Linked DNA regions of Notamacropus eugenii. Each later gene encodes a partner of the first gene's protein in a complex. Links are inferred from orthologs where the notes say so. Each region holds a gene or a part of one and is shown in the gene's direction. Other genes may lie near its edges. The genes, in order: CELF1, CALR3 and CALR.

The links.
Region 2: CELF1 (region 1) and CALR3 share a complex: the UniProt entries of both Homo sapiens proteins name them as parts of the EIF2 complex. The link is inferred for Notamacropus eugenii from reciprocal best matches to the Homo sapiens genes CELF1 and CALR3.
Region 3: CELF1 (region 1) and CALR share a complex: the UniProt entries of both Homo sapiens proteins name them as parts of the EIF2 complex. The link is inferred for Notamacropus eugenii from reciprocal best matches to the Homo sapiens genes CELF1 and CALR.

Annotation. Positions count from the first base shown.
Region 1 is NC_092877.1:3,521,309-3,525,055, forward strand, and holds the start of CELF1 (CUGBP Elav-like family member 1), read left to right. Parts: upstream 1-1,022; 5' UTR 1,023-1,037; coding exon 1,038-1,213; exon of another isoform or gene 1,214-1,368; intron 1,369-1,710; coding exon 1,711-1,898; intron 1,899-3,281; coding exon 3,282-3,364; intron 3,365-3,747. UniProt on the Homo sapiens protein: RNA-binding protein implicated in the regulation of several post-transcriptional events. Involved in pre-mRNA alternative splicing, mRNA translation and stability.
Region 2 is NC_092875.1:59,663,371-59,667,117, reverse strand, and holds the start of CALR3 (calreticulin-3), read left to right. Parts: upstream 1-1,129; coding exon 1,130-1,460; intron 1,461-1,695; coding exon of another isoform or gene 1,696-1,868; exon of another isoform or gene 1,869-1,914; intron 1,915-1,964; coding exon 1,965-2,138; intron 2,139-2,968; coding exon 2,969-3,070; intron 3,071-3,747. Other genes in the region: C4H19orf44 (uncharacterized protein C19orf44 homolog), read right to left, coding at 1,696-1,868. UniProt on the Homo sapiens protein: During spermatogenesis, may act as a lectin-independent chaperone for specific client proteins such as ADAM3. Required for sperm fertility. CALR3 capacity for calcium-binding may be absent or much lower than that of CALR.
Region 3 is NC_092875.1:77,932,663-77,936,409, reverse strand, and holds the start of CALR (calreticulin), read left to right. Parts: upstream 1-1,171; 5' UTR 1,172-1,339; coding exon 1,340-1,427; intron 1,428-2,470; coding exon 2,471-2,572; intron 2,573-2,862; coding exon 2,863-3,066; intron 3,067-3,292; coding exon 3,293-3,387; intron 3,388-3,474; coding exon 3,475-3,684; intron 3,685-3,747. UniProt on the Homo sapiens protein: Calcium-binding chaperone that promotes folding, oligomeric assembly and quality control in the endoplasmic reticulum (ER) via the calreticulin/calnexin cycle.

The DNA of each region.
Region 1 (3,747 bases):
GTGCTCAATGTTTCCTAGTTAGTCTTAGACTGAAAAAAAGGCAGTTAGAAGTAACGAATCTTGAAATTCAAAGGAAACAAGACAGGAGAGATGATTGGAAGAGCAAAAAAAAAAAAATTGTTTAATGTGAGAAGGATTATAGAGCATGGTTAAAGATGGAGGGAGAGAGCAAACTGTCACAGATTGGTGAAAATCTTAGGCAAGTTTGAGGAGTTGGTAGAAGAAGTGATTTGGAATTTAATTGGCTATAAAGGAAATGAAAAGAAAAACAGCCTGAAAGATTGATAAAGGGGAAAGGCAAACAGAAGAGTAAAAATGTGATGAGTGTTGTTGCCCTGTAATTCTCTCAAGAGGATTTCCAAGAGTCCTGGTGGGGTTTGAGTTTGGTGAAATGGCATTCATTAGTATGGAGCTAGGTTGAATAGCATGACAAAACCAAGTGGGGATACTGAGTCTCAAGGTAACTGAGAGACAGGAAAATGAATGCATCTGCCGAATGTAATGGGAGAGAAGGAACATTGTATTTCAGAGAGTACAATGTCTGAAGTTTACATCTAGTGCCTGTGCTTGGATTTTAGTGGCAAGTTGGAGTCAAAGGATCTGGTGGGATTTGGTCCCAGCCCTGCCCCTCCCTTCCTCTGTGGCACTGGACTAGCCTGGTCATTGTCTTCACCTTGAGTTTACCAGTGTGGAAGATGAGGAGGTTTAACTAAGTGACCTGAGTTCCCTTTTTGCCCTAAATTACAATGATAATCATTTTTACATTTTTTTCCTTCAAAACCTAACTTTGCTATGTGAGCCTTGGACTCAGGATTATTGGAATTATTATGAATCACTTTTGTCGATATTTTACTTGTGCCTTCTGAACTTTGGTCTAGGAAATTAAGAACTTGTCTTTGGTCCAGAGCTTTAAAAGTTTTCCTTTATGCAAGTCAGTTACTCTTGTTCTTATGGTCTTTTCATTCCATTAATTAAACACTTTGGAAGTTTGTTTAGAAGTGGTCATCTTTGGAGTAGGCGTTGCCTCTGATTCTGCTATGAAATTCTCATGCTCAAGAAGAGCATTATCATTCCCGTGGCAACAGACAATGCTGTCCTCAACACAGAATGGTGACTTCACTGCGGGAGCCGACAGAAGGGGAAGCCATGGTGGGAGGGACAGCCAAGGAGCAGATTGCCCGGAGGCTCCAAAAGAAAAGAACATGCTTATCAAGTAGACTTTCCTTTCCCTGTGGGGGGAGCGGAGGATGAGGGGGGTAGCGCTTCAGGCCTCTTGGCAACGTTTATTCCGTTGTTCCATGTCCAAGTGACAAGAGCTCCTTTGCCTCTTGATGTAAGCTCCTTGAGAGCAGGGACTGCTTCGTTCATGTATGTGTTTGTCTTTTGTCTTGGTCTTTGTGTGCCCGGCTTCTAGCCCTGTGCCTGGCACATCCATAGTAGTGATTAATAAATGCTTGTTGTTTGACTGATTGACTTAGCTCTTGGGGATGTGCTCAGTGTAAGCAGGAGGAGCCTTCCTGGTTCCTTGTGTCTCTCCACATACCCTGTTCTTCCAGTTTTCTGATGTATGTAAGTGTACATCTAAGGTGCTGGAATGTACTTGATGGAGTTCGTAAAGAGGCACTGTGGTGCTGTGGTCGCTTAGAAGAAAAACCTTCGAGTTGTGTGTGACTGGACCTTGTGATAGAGGCTTCTTTTTATCCCGTGCAGCTCAAAGAAAATGAATGGAACACTGGATCACCCGGACCAACCTGACCTCGATGCCATCAAGATGTTTGTGGGTCAGGTTCCTAGGAGCTGGTCTGAGAAAGATCTGAGGGAACTCTTTGAACAGTACGGTGCTGTCTACGAAATCAACGTCCTGAGGGATAGGAGCCAGAATCCTCCCCAGAGCAAAGGTGAGCACTTGGGTTCTGTCTCCCTGATGAGAAAACCTTCAATTTTCCATGTCTCCTTCCTGTCGCACGTGATCCTACGATGATCTGTTGATCAGTTGATCTTAGATTTATGTTTTCTCTCTGCTCAGTTGCTTTTTCACTTAAGAAAGAAGGCTTCCCTTTTAGCTAAACTTGACTTGGTTCAGTACCTGGTATGAAGGAAGTACTTAAGAGTTTTTGACTTGGAAGAAAATAAAAAGTCACTTAAGGACTAAGTACTTGGGGATGATAGGAATGAGGATGATGTCTGATACTCCTTTCACTTCAGAAGACATTTCATAAATAAGCAAGGGCACAGTGCTTGGCATTGTAGATACACGGTGAGGGAGCATGGCGTAGTGCAGACTCCTCCGTCCTTGAAGGCAGTCCCTGATCATTTATTATTTGTGGAGTTCTGGCTAGTCAGTGGGCCTCAGATTCCCTGTGTTTATAATAGCATGAACTATATGTAGAGTTCCTAGAGAAGAAAGTTTAGGTTTGATATCCTGAAAACCTTGCCAATAATTGAAGTTACCCAAGAGTGGAATGGGTGACCTTGAGAGGTGTTCAGATAGAGTTTGAATGACCATTTGTCCAGTGTGTCACAGTAGGAATTCCTTTCAGGTAATATTTGGACGAGATGGCTACTGAGATCCCATCTAGTTCTAAATTGTGTGGTTTTGTCCTTTATGCCTTAAAACATGGACATTTCATTATGGTTATTCATATTCTGCCTCAGCCACCACCCCCAAATAGAAAGGACACAGGCCATACCTTCAAGGAACTGAAGTCTAATAAGGGTGATGAGACAAGAACACTAGTATGAGCTGGGATGTAGAGTCAGAGAGTGGTTTGAGAGGAAGAGGGATCATTTTTAGCTGGAGAAATTTGAGAAAGCTAGGAGGTGGTACCAAAGCTGGGCCTTGAAGAAACAGAGGGACTGAACTAGGTGAAACAGGCATGTCTTGGGGGGAAAGTCTCCTCCTTGCAGTGGGATGTGCCCAAAGGCAGGGGCAGAAAGCAGGAGGAGATTAAGGGAAATCCAGAGGGGACAGGGCAGAGAAATCATTCTTTGTGGGAGTGCCAGTTGGGCAGTGAGGAGAGCAGGGCCACGAAGCTTTCTGAATACACCCATTACCCATATACTTCCTGTGTGACAGCTATGGGTAAAGCACATTTCTACACCCAGTGCATTACTGAATGAATTATTTGAATTATTTCTTTCTTTTCTCCATCTTGCATGTACTGGCAAAGCAGTACTCCTTGCAAGAGTCCTCACAGTATGTGTTTCTCTCTGGAAGCCAAGTTCTCTAAAAATTGCTTTCTTACACAAGAGTAATATTTGTCATTTGTTTGTGATTACAGGGTGCTGTTTTGTTACATTTTACACCCGGAAAGCTGCACTAGAAGCACAGAACGCTCTTCACAATATGAAGATCCTCCCAGGGGTGAGAAGAGAGAGATCATCCATTCTGTCAGGAAGACTTAGAGTGGTTTTAGCAAGTAGGATGAGCTCCTGAGCTCAGTCCCAAAAAGCAGGCTCACAAGCAGCTCCAAAGATATCGTGACAAAGTTGTCAAGAATGTTCCCTGTAGCTTCATGCAGTTGACATCTTGGCTCTCTATTTGTCTATCTGAGCGCTAAGTTTGGGGTAAAAATGGTGCTGTCATGGAAAATCAAGAAAAGCTCCCAAGACTCCATTGTTCTAATTCAGTATCCCAGAAATGTTAGTACTTTGTCCGTTTGAGAACACAGACCTTGGATGTTTAGCGTGTGCAGTGTACTATGATTCCGTGTAATATAGTGTACACCATCACATACACTGAAGAGA
Region 2 (3,747 bases), on another chromosome or scaffold:
ACAGTTGTCTTCAAGTATCTGAAGGACAACTGCCATTTGGAAGAGGGATCGGATTTGTTCATTCCATCAAAGAAATTAGAAAAAATAGAACAAGGTCAAAGTTGCAGAGAAGTCAGTTTAGGAATTGCTGTCAAGAAATACTTCTTAAAAAATGAGAGTGTTGTCCTTCCTCCATATTGAAGATATTCAAGAAAAGGCTGGATGACCATCTGTTGGCTGGTGTAATGGGGTGAGGACTGTTCTGTGGTATTGGTTAGACTAGATGGCTTCTGAGGGCCCTTCCAACCCTGAATTTCTGTGATTCGTACCTGTATAGAAATGCCCCTTAAAATGGTTGCAACAAACATTTCAAGCCAGCCTTGGACCTACAGTGAAAGAACAAAGTACTTTTCTCATAAAATTCCTTTAAAGCGGATAATGCAAATATTCTTCTTATTTTACATATGGAAATACTGAGATGTGGATAGATGGAAGCAATCTTTGTCTCAGGTCAACTAGCCCCAAATATTGTGGAGCAAAATGCAAACAAAAGTCTCTTGACTCAGAATCCAACACTTTTGACCACATTGTATCTCAATTCTACTACATCCTAAGAAGCATATTTTACGATATTTATTGTTAAGAAGTTCCATCTTACATTAAGCCTAGACCTGTGTCTCTCAAACTTTCATCCATTTCTTCATAATTCTGTCCTTTTAAGGCCAAAGCTTTAACTTCCTCTTAAACATGACAGCCCTTCAAATACTCAAAAACAGCTATCAACCATGTTCCGGATGAGTCTTCTCTTCCCCAGGCTACACATGTCAATCAATACATATTTATTAAACAGGTAGGAAGTACCTGGCACTGTGCTGAAAGCTAGATATACAAAGAAAGACAAAAGATAATTCAATACCTTAAGATTTGAAAAGCCCTTTATAATACATTACCAGATGCTCACAACCACCCTATGAAGTGGGTGCCATCATCACCCCCATTTGACATAAGAAAACCGCGGCCAAAAGCTATGAAATGACTCGCCCAAGATCTCACAAGGTAATGAAGAGTCTGGGGCCACATTCGAATTCAGGTCTTCCTAACTCCCAGTCCTGTGCTCCACCCACCCTGGCACCAGTTCCTGCGACCAGGCATGCCACGGCCCCTTCAGAGCTCCGTTCGCTCTGCTGGCTGCCCGGCTCGGGGCGCTCGTCCACTTGTACACGGCCTTCTCGGACCCTGGCACCCAGACATTTACTACGACACCACCACGGCGGGGGCAGCGGTCATGACCAGCTCCCGGTCATTCATTCGTTCATCATTCCACAGGCATCGATTCCGTCCAAGGCCTCAGACACCAGCGCGCGGGGAGGCCGCGTCTTGCCGTGGACGCATCTCGAGCTGGCAGTCCACTAAGACCCCCGGGTCTCGTCTCTCTCACCCCACTCCCCACCCCAAGAGGCTAATCGAGGCTGGGGTCAGAGGTCAGCCTAGAACCCAGCGCCCGACCTCCTCTTCCTCCTCCTTCTGCCCCCCCCCGCCTCCCCGGAGCCCGAGACAACCCCCCCCCCACCCCCCCCCCCCCCGCTTCTCCCTCCCCACCCGCAGGCCCCCGGGCTTCTGGAGCTCCTCAACTTCCCTACGTCCGAACGTCAAATCTTCCCCCGCCGCCATCCCCACCCTAGGCCCCTCCCACCCCTCCCTCCTCGCGCTGCTCACCGACCTCTTCCTTGGGTTCGCCTCCTCGAAGGCCTCCGTACACCAATTCCCCCGGCCAAGGGCCGGAGGGCCCCGTATTCTTTAACGGTCTCTCTTGGCAACAGAATTGGACTTCCGGCCTCGCGCCGCGGGGGGGAGGGGGTCCGACGGGGAGAAACTACATTTCCCAGCATGCATCGCCCTATGGGCAGTTGGAGCGCCAGGGTTCAGCCGCTCAGCAAAGCACGATGGGAATCGAAGTTCGTTTCCTTTTCTGCCCCTGGACGCAGCGTGCAGCATCGGTGGAGCCAATCAGAGGGCGCGCCCGGACGGAGAGCGGGAAAAGAAAAACTACCTTCGAGCGGCCATGGGTCGGCCCGTGGCCGCTGGGCCTCTGTGGGCCTTGTGTCTGGTGCGGACGGCTCTGACCACTGTGTACTTCCAAGAAGAGTTCCTTGATGGAGGTGAAATGAGACGGGGACCTGGGCTCGGCGGGAGAGAAACCATCCCTTGGGTCACCGGGGCCATGGCCAACGGACGCAGCCAGGCCTGGAACCAGGACGGCCTGCCCCCCAATATATACCAGCCAGATGACCCTGGTTAAGATGCCGGAGCTCGCGCCTTTGAAGCTCAGAATCCTCCGGCCTTGTACCCCCAGCACATAGCTGTAAAAAAATGTGGCCAAGTGTCAAGACTGGGAGGGTTGCTGTCATGTGACCTTAGCAGCCCTCTAGGTCAAACCCCCCCCTACCTGAGGCCCAGAGAGGTCACGTGATTTAGGGTTGCTCTAAGTGCTGGATCCTCCCATCCCAGTGGAACGTTTCCTCCATCGCACCAGTGAGCCTGGTATCTTTGGAGGAATAGGTAGAAGTGGGAGAAAGGCAGATTTCCACTAGATATAAGGAAAACCTTCATACCAGCTAGAGCTGGAATGGGCTGCCTTCGGAGATAATGGGCTATCCTTCTAAAGAGATTTTTAAGCTGAAGCTGGGTCATCCTATTCAGGTACAATTTAAATAGGATAATGTTTAAAGACTGTTCTCTGATCTCAGAAAGGAAATGGGATCCCAGTCATGTCATCAAAGGTTTGCCTTCGAAAAATGAATCAGGGTTTGTCCCTGGAAATTTGTCGAAGAAATCACCCTTACAAGGTAGATTATGAGTCATAATCATTAAATCCTGAGAATACTTGACCCTTTCCACCTTTAAAAAGTCTTCTCAGCTGTAACCTTAATGCCTGACTTAGGATGTTTGTTCCTGATTTGCCTTACTCTTTCTTTTTCTTCTTAAACAGAAAGTTGGAGAAATAGATGGATACCTTCTGCCAATGACTCCAACTTTGGGCACTTTAGGCTATCATCAGGAAAATTTTATGGTGATATACAGAAAGATAAAGGTTAGTAGTAAGCCTTTGATTTAAAATTCCAACTCTTATTCTGACCATTTGGTGACTGGGTTCTGTCAACAGTGAGCTGACAAAGATGAGTTAGGAGATCACAAGATATTTGGAGCCTTGTCCACAATCTTTATTGTGGACTTCACAAGCACTTCCCATGTAACAAGAAATTGTGCTGGGGATACAAAGACATAAACAAAATTACCCCTGCCCCCAAGAAGTTTACCTTTAATCTCCTTCATTCTTTTTCTTCATCCATTGGTGGATAGTACAAGTCTATGCTATCCCCATCCAGTTAGTCACTTGCCCCCTTTTCCTGTTGCCAACTATGACAATCATGCTTGACTCCAACCTTGAATTACCCTCACAATCTGATGGAGCAAAGCTGGAGAAAATCACATGTTGCCTGGGTTTCCTATAAATTTATCTTGCATAATCTCAACTGGACCCTCACTCAGTAAGGCAATCTTTTATGTCTCCCTAATCCATTAACTAGGTTAGCTACGTGTCACAGTGGATAGAGTGCCAGACCTGGAATCCAGAAGACTCATCTTCCTGAGTTCAAATCTGGTGTCAGACTCTTAATTGTGTGACTCTGGGCAAGTCACTTCACCCTGTTTGCCTCAGTTTCTTTATCTATAAAATGAGCTGGACGGACAACTAAGTGGATAGAGCAC
Region 3 (3,747 bases), on another chromosome or scaffold:
CTCTGAACTCTAATCCTACTCTAGGAGTCTGTGACAGCAGCTAATCCGAACCTTCATTTTACATATGAGGAAATTAAGTTCCAAAGAGGACAGGGAGTTGCCCAAGGTCACAAGGCTCTAAGTACACCTGGGATAGAACTAGCATGGTCATAGAGTCAGGGATTTTCCAATCCAGACAATTTTTGTTTCAATTTCACCTTGTTACTTTCTGTGTGGTGGTCTTGAAACAAGTGCTTTGCTTCCTGTATATATTTCCTTATACGAAAAATGAGATTCCTTCCATTTGAACTGAGGTCATCTGACTCTGTCTGAAATTCTATGCACCCTACTAAGTTTTGTCCTGTCCTGCCACAGTCACATTAGACAATCACTCCTCAGACTCTTCCCAAGAATCAATCTTCACACTGAGAGCCTGGTGTAAATTCTAGTTAAACCTGAGTCTGAAAGCCAAATGACAGGACCGAGGTCACCCAGGTGGGGCTTGACCTCATACTTCTGAGCAGCACCCTTGTGGTCAGTTATGGTGGTTCTGTCCCTTTGTCCACCCAGGATCTGACCTGGCACCGTTTACGCTTGTGGGTGGATGAAACCTTTGGGGCTTGCAGCAGGGCTGGGGACGGTGCTTCCAGCTTGGGAGGTTGAGATAGGACCCCAAGGGTCATGTGGATGCTGCTACAGGGAAGGTCCCTGGGGAAGTACTGCTGGCCAGCGGGGTTGAAGACTGAGGCTGGGACCCCACGGGGGAGGCGGGGGAAAGGGGGGGTCCTGGCACAAGGAGGGCATCTTTCCTGAGCCGAAGGATTGCTGGAAGCTCCGGAGAGGGGCCTGGGGTTGGGGGAGTCGGGAGTTATCCACTTCTCTTAGGCCCCGACCTTTAAGAAACGGTGAATAAGGGGAGTAAACTGCAGACAGGAGATTTGGGGGGAAAGGGTGGGAAGAGTCTGGCCAGCTTATCACGTGATTCGAACCGGGTCCCTGCTTCCCTCCCCCTTCTGGAAGTGCTGTAGGCGTCCCCCCCACAACGCGTGGTCGTTCCTCATTGGCTCGTGGCTACGGCCAATAGAAAGCGGCCATCTGGGAACCCAGCGTTCCGAGGTGCAGCCTAAAGTGCTGCGCCGGCTCGGGGCCAATCGGGAGGGGCCTTGCGGGTCCCGCAGCCAATGGACATGCTGAGGGGGCGGGAACACGGGCTGGGCGGTGTTGGTTTGAGGGGGGCCGGGTATAAAGGCGGTCGGTGGTCGGCGGCGGCTGTCCCTACTGCAGAGCCGGAGTAGTGCTGTCGTCTGCGGATTCTGTGTCCGTACCCGATCCCCGCCGCCCCTACCTGACCCTTCCCGTCATGCTGCCTCTCCTGCTTCTGGGCCTGCTAGGCCTGGCGGAGGCCGCTGAGCCTGTGGTCTATTTCAAGGAGCAGTTCCTCGACGGAGGTAAACGAGGGGCGCCCGGGCCTGCGGTCCCGCCCCGTCCGGGGCTCCCCGGGCCCTCCCGAGCGCCTAGCCCGCCTAGAGTGCCTCCTGCTGGGGTGGGGGGACGTTGGAGGGGCCGCGCGCACCCGCTCCAGCCGCTGCTGTCCCGGGGGGAGGGGAGGGGGTCGTGCCCGGGTCCCTCTTGTCATCCTAGCGGCGTGGGAGGCGCTACGGCCGCCGGGAGTCCGCTCCCCTTGGGACAGCGCTGCCTCCCCGGTGTGGTGGCTACAGCCCTCCCCGGGGGCCCCTCTTCCTCCATTAGCCTCAAGGGTGTCCAACATTGGGTCCCCGGGACCTTTGTCCCTCCTGCAGCCGACCACGGGCTTGCCCTCTCCCTCGACCCTTTCCCCAGCCTGTTCTAAGCCTGATACTTGGGGGTGGGGGAGGGGAAATGAGGGGCAGAGAGGGTCCACTGGGCAGAGACCCCCGGGGCCCGGTCTGAAGCTTGGAACCTTTCACCCTCTCTTTGCTTCTGATATCGTCAGTGCCCCCGGAAACCTGGGGTGGAGGTGAGGGGGCGGGGTTGGTTCCTGGAGAGTTAAAACATGCCCTTATGAATGCATAAAGCGAGGTGCCAGGCAAATCACTTAATTTCTGAGTCTTTGCTTTCATTCACTGTAAAATGAAGAGGCTGGACCAGAAGGCCCCCGGGTGGCATTTCAGCCCTAAATCCTGCCTCCGTGCTTTGCTGACCTTGTATAAACCCTTTTCTTTTTTGGGAGAGGGTCAATTTCCCCATTCACAAAACGAAAGGGTTTAGATTGGGTGTCCTTTAAAAGGTCCTTTTCCATCTCGAACATTTTGGTAGCCCGAGACTGTGTTGTTTAGTTGGAGATGGTTTCTGGAGGGGCCTTTCCTTAGCAGCTGGTACCTAGAATGAGTGAGTCCCTTGGAAAGCTAGGTTTTGATGGACAGGGATAGAAAGATGATCACAGACTCTTCTCACATGTTGTACTTCCCCAGTGTTGGGGAACATGAGGACACTAACCCCCTTCTCTCCTCAGAGGGTTGGGAAGATCGTTGGGTGGAATCCAAGCACAAGAGTGACTATGGCAAGTTTAGGCTCTCGTCCGGGAAGTTCTACGGTGATGAAGAGAAGGACAAAGGTGAGGGGCTGCCTCCTGCCAGAGATGTGATATTGGAGAAGTACTTTTCATTTAGGCCTCGATTTCCTCATCCATAAAGAGGGAAAGGGTTAGGTTTAAATCTCCCTACCAACTCTGAAATTTCCTCTGATTCCATTGAGGCTGTATCCATGCAAGGGGGTTGGTCAGGATTGAATTGGACCTGGGACAGAAGACTCAGTGTGAGTGGCTGCTGGTAGGGAAGAACCGTGAGTGATGAGGCAGGATACCCCTTACTTACCTTGGGGACAACTTTCTCACCATGCCTGTAGGGCTGCAGACAAGCCAGGATGCCCGCTTCTATGCTCTGTCCTCACGCATGGAGCCCTTCAGCAACAAGGGCCAGACGCTGGTGGTGCAGTTCACTGTGAAACATGAGCAGAACATTGACTGTGGTGGTGGTTATGTGAAGCTGTTCCCTGCTAGCCTAGACCAGGCTAGCATGCATGGAGACTCAGAGTACAACATCATGTTTGGTAAGTGTCCATAGGACTGGCTGTTGTCCCTTCCTTCTGTGGTTCTGGGAGTCCCTAAAATGAGAGTCTGAGATTGACCATCTCATCAGTGGGAAACTAAGGATTGAGGAAGGAAGGTGACTTGACCCTAGGGTCCTTCCTTCCCACTTGCCCTTCATAGTGGCTTTGGGGAACTGGGAGACAGGAGTCCTGGATTCTTTGATCAGTTTCCCCATTCCTTCTTCAGGCCCTGACATATGCGGCCCAGGAACCAAGAAGGTTCATGTTATCTTTAACTACAAAGGCAAGAACATGCTGATCAATAAGGACATTCGATGCAAGGTAAACTACCTAACAGATGGTGAGGCAGAGGGAAGGGTCCAAGACCTGTGAGACCTTGGTTCCTTCATAACTGTTGTCCTCCCATAGGATGATGAGTTCACCCACCTGTACACCCTGATTGTTCGGCCAGACAACACATATGAAGTGAAGATAGACAATGTTCAAGTAGAATCAGGCTCGATGGAAGATGACTGGGACTTCCTGCCTCCGAAGAAAATCAAAGATCCTGAGGCCAAGAAGCCTGAGGACTGGGATGAGCGAGCCAAGATTGATGACCCCACAGACACAAAGCCAGATGTAGGTTGCTTGCATTTGGGAATTCTTCATGGCTAATCCCTGTCCAGTGACCATCCATCCTTT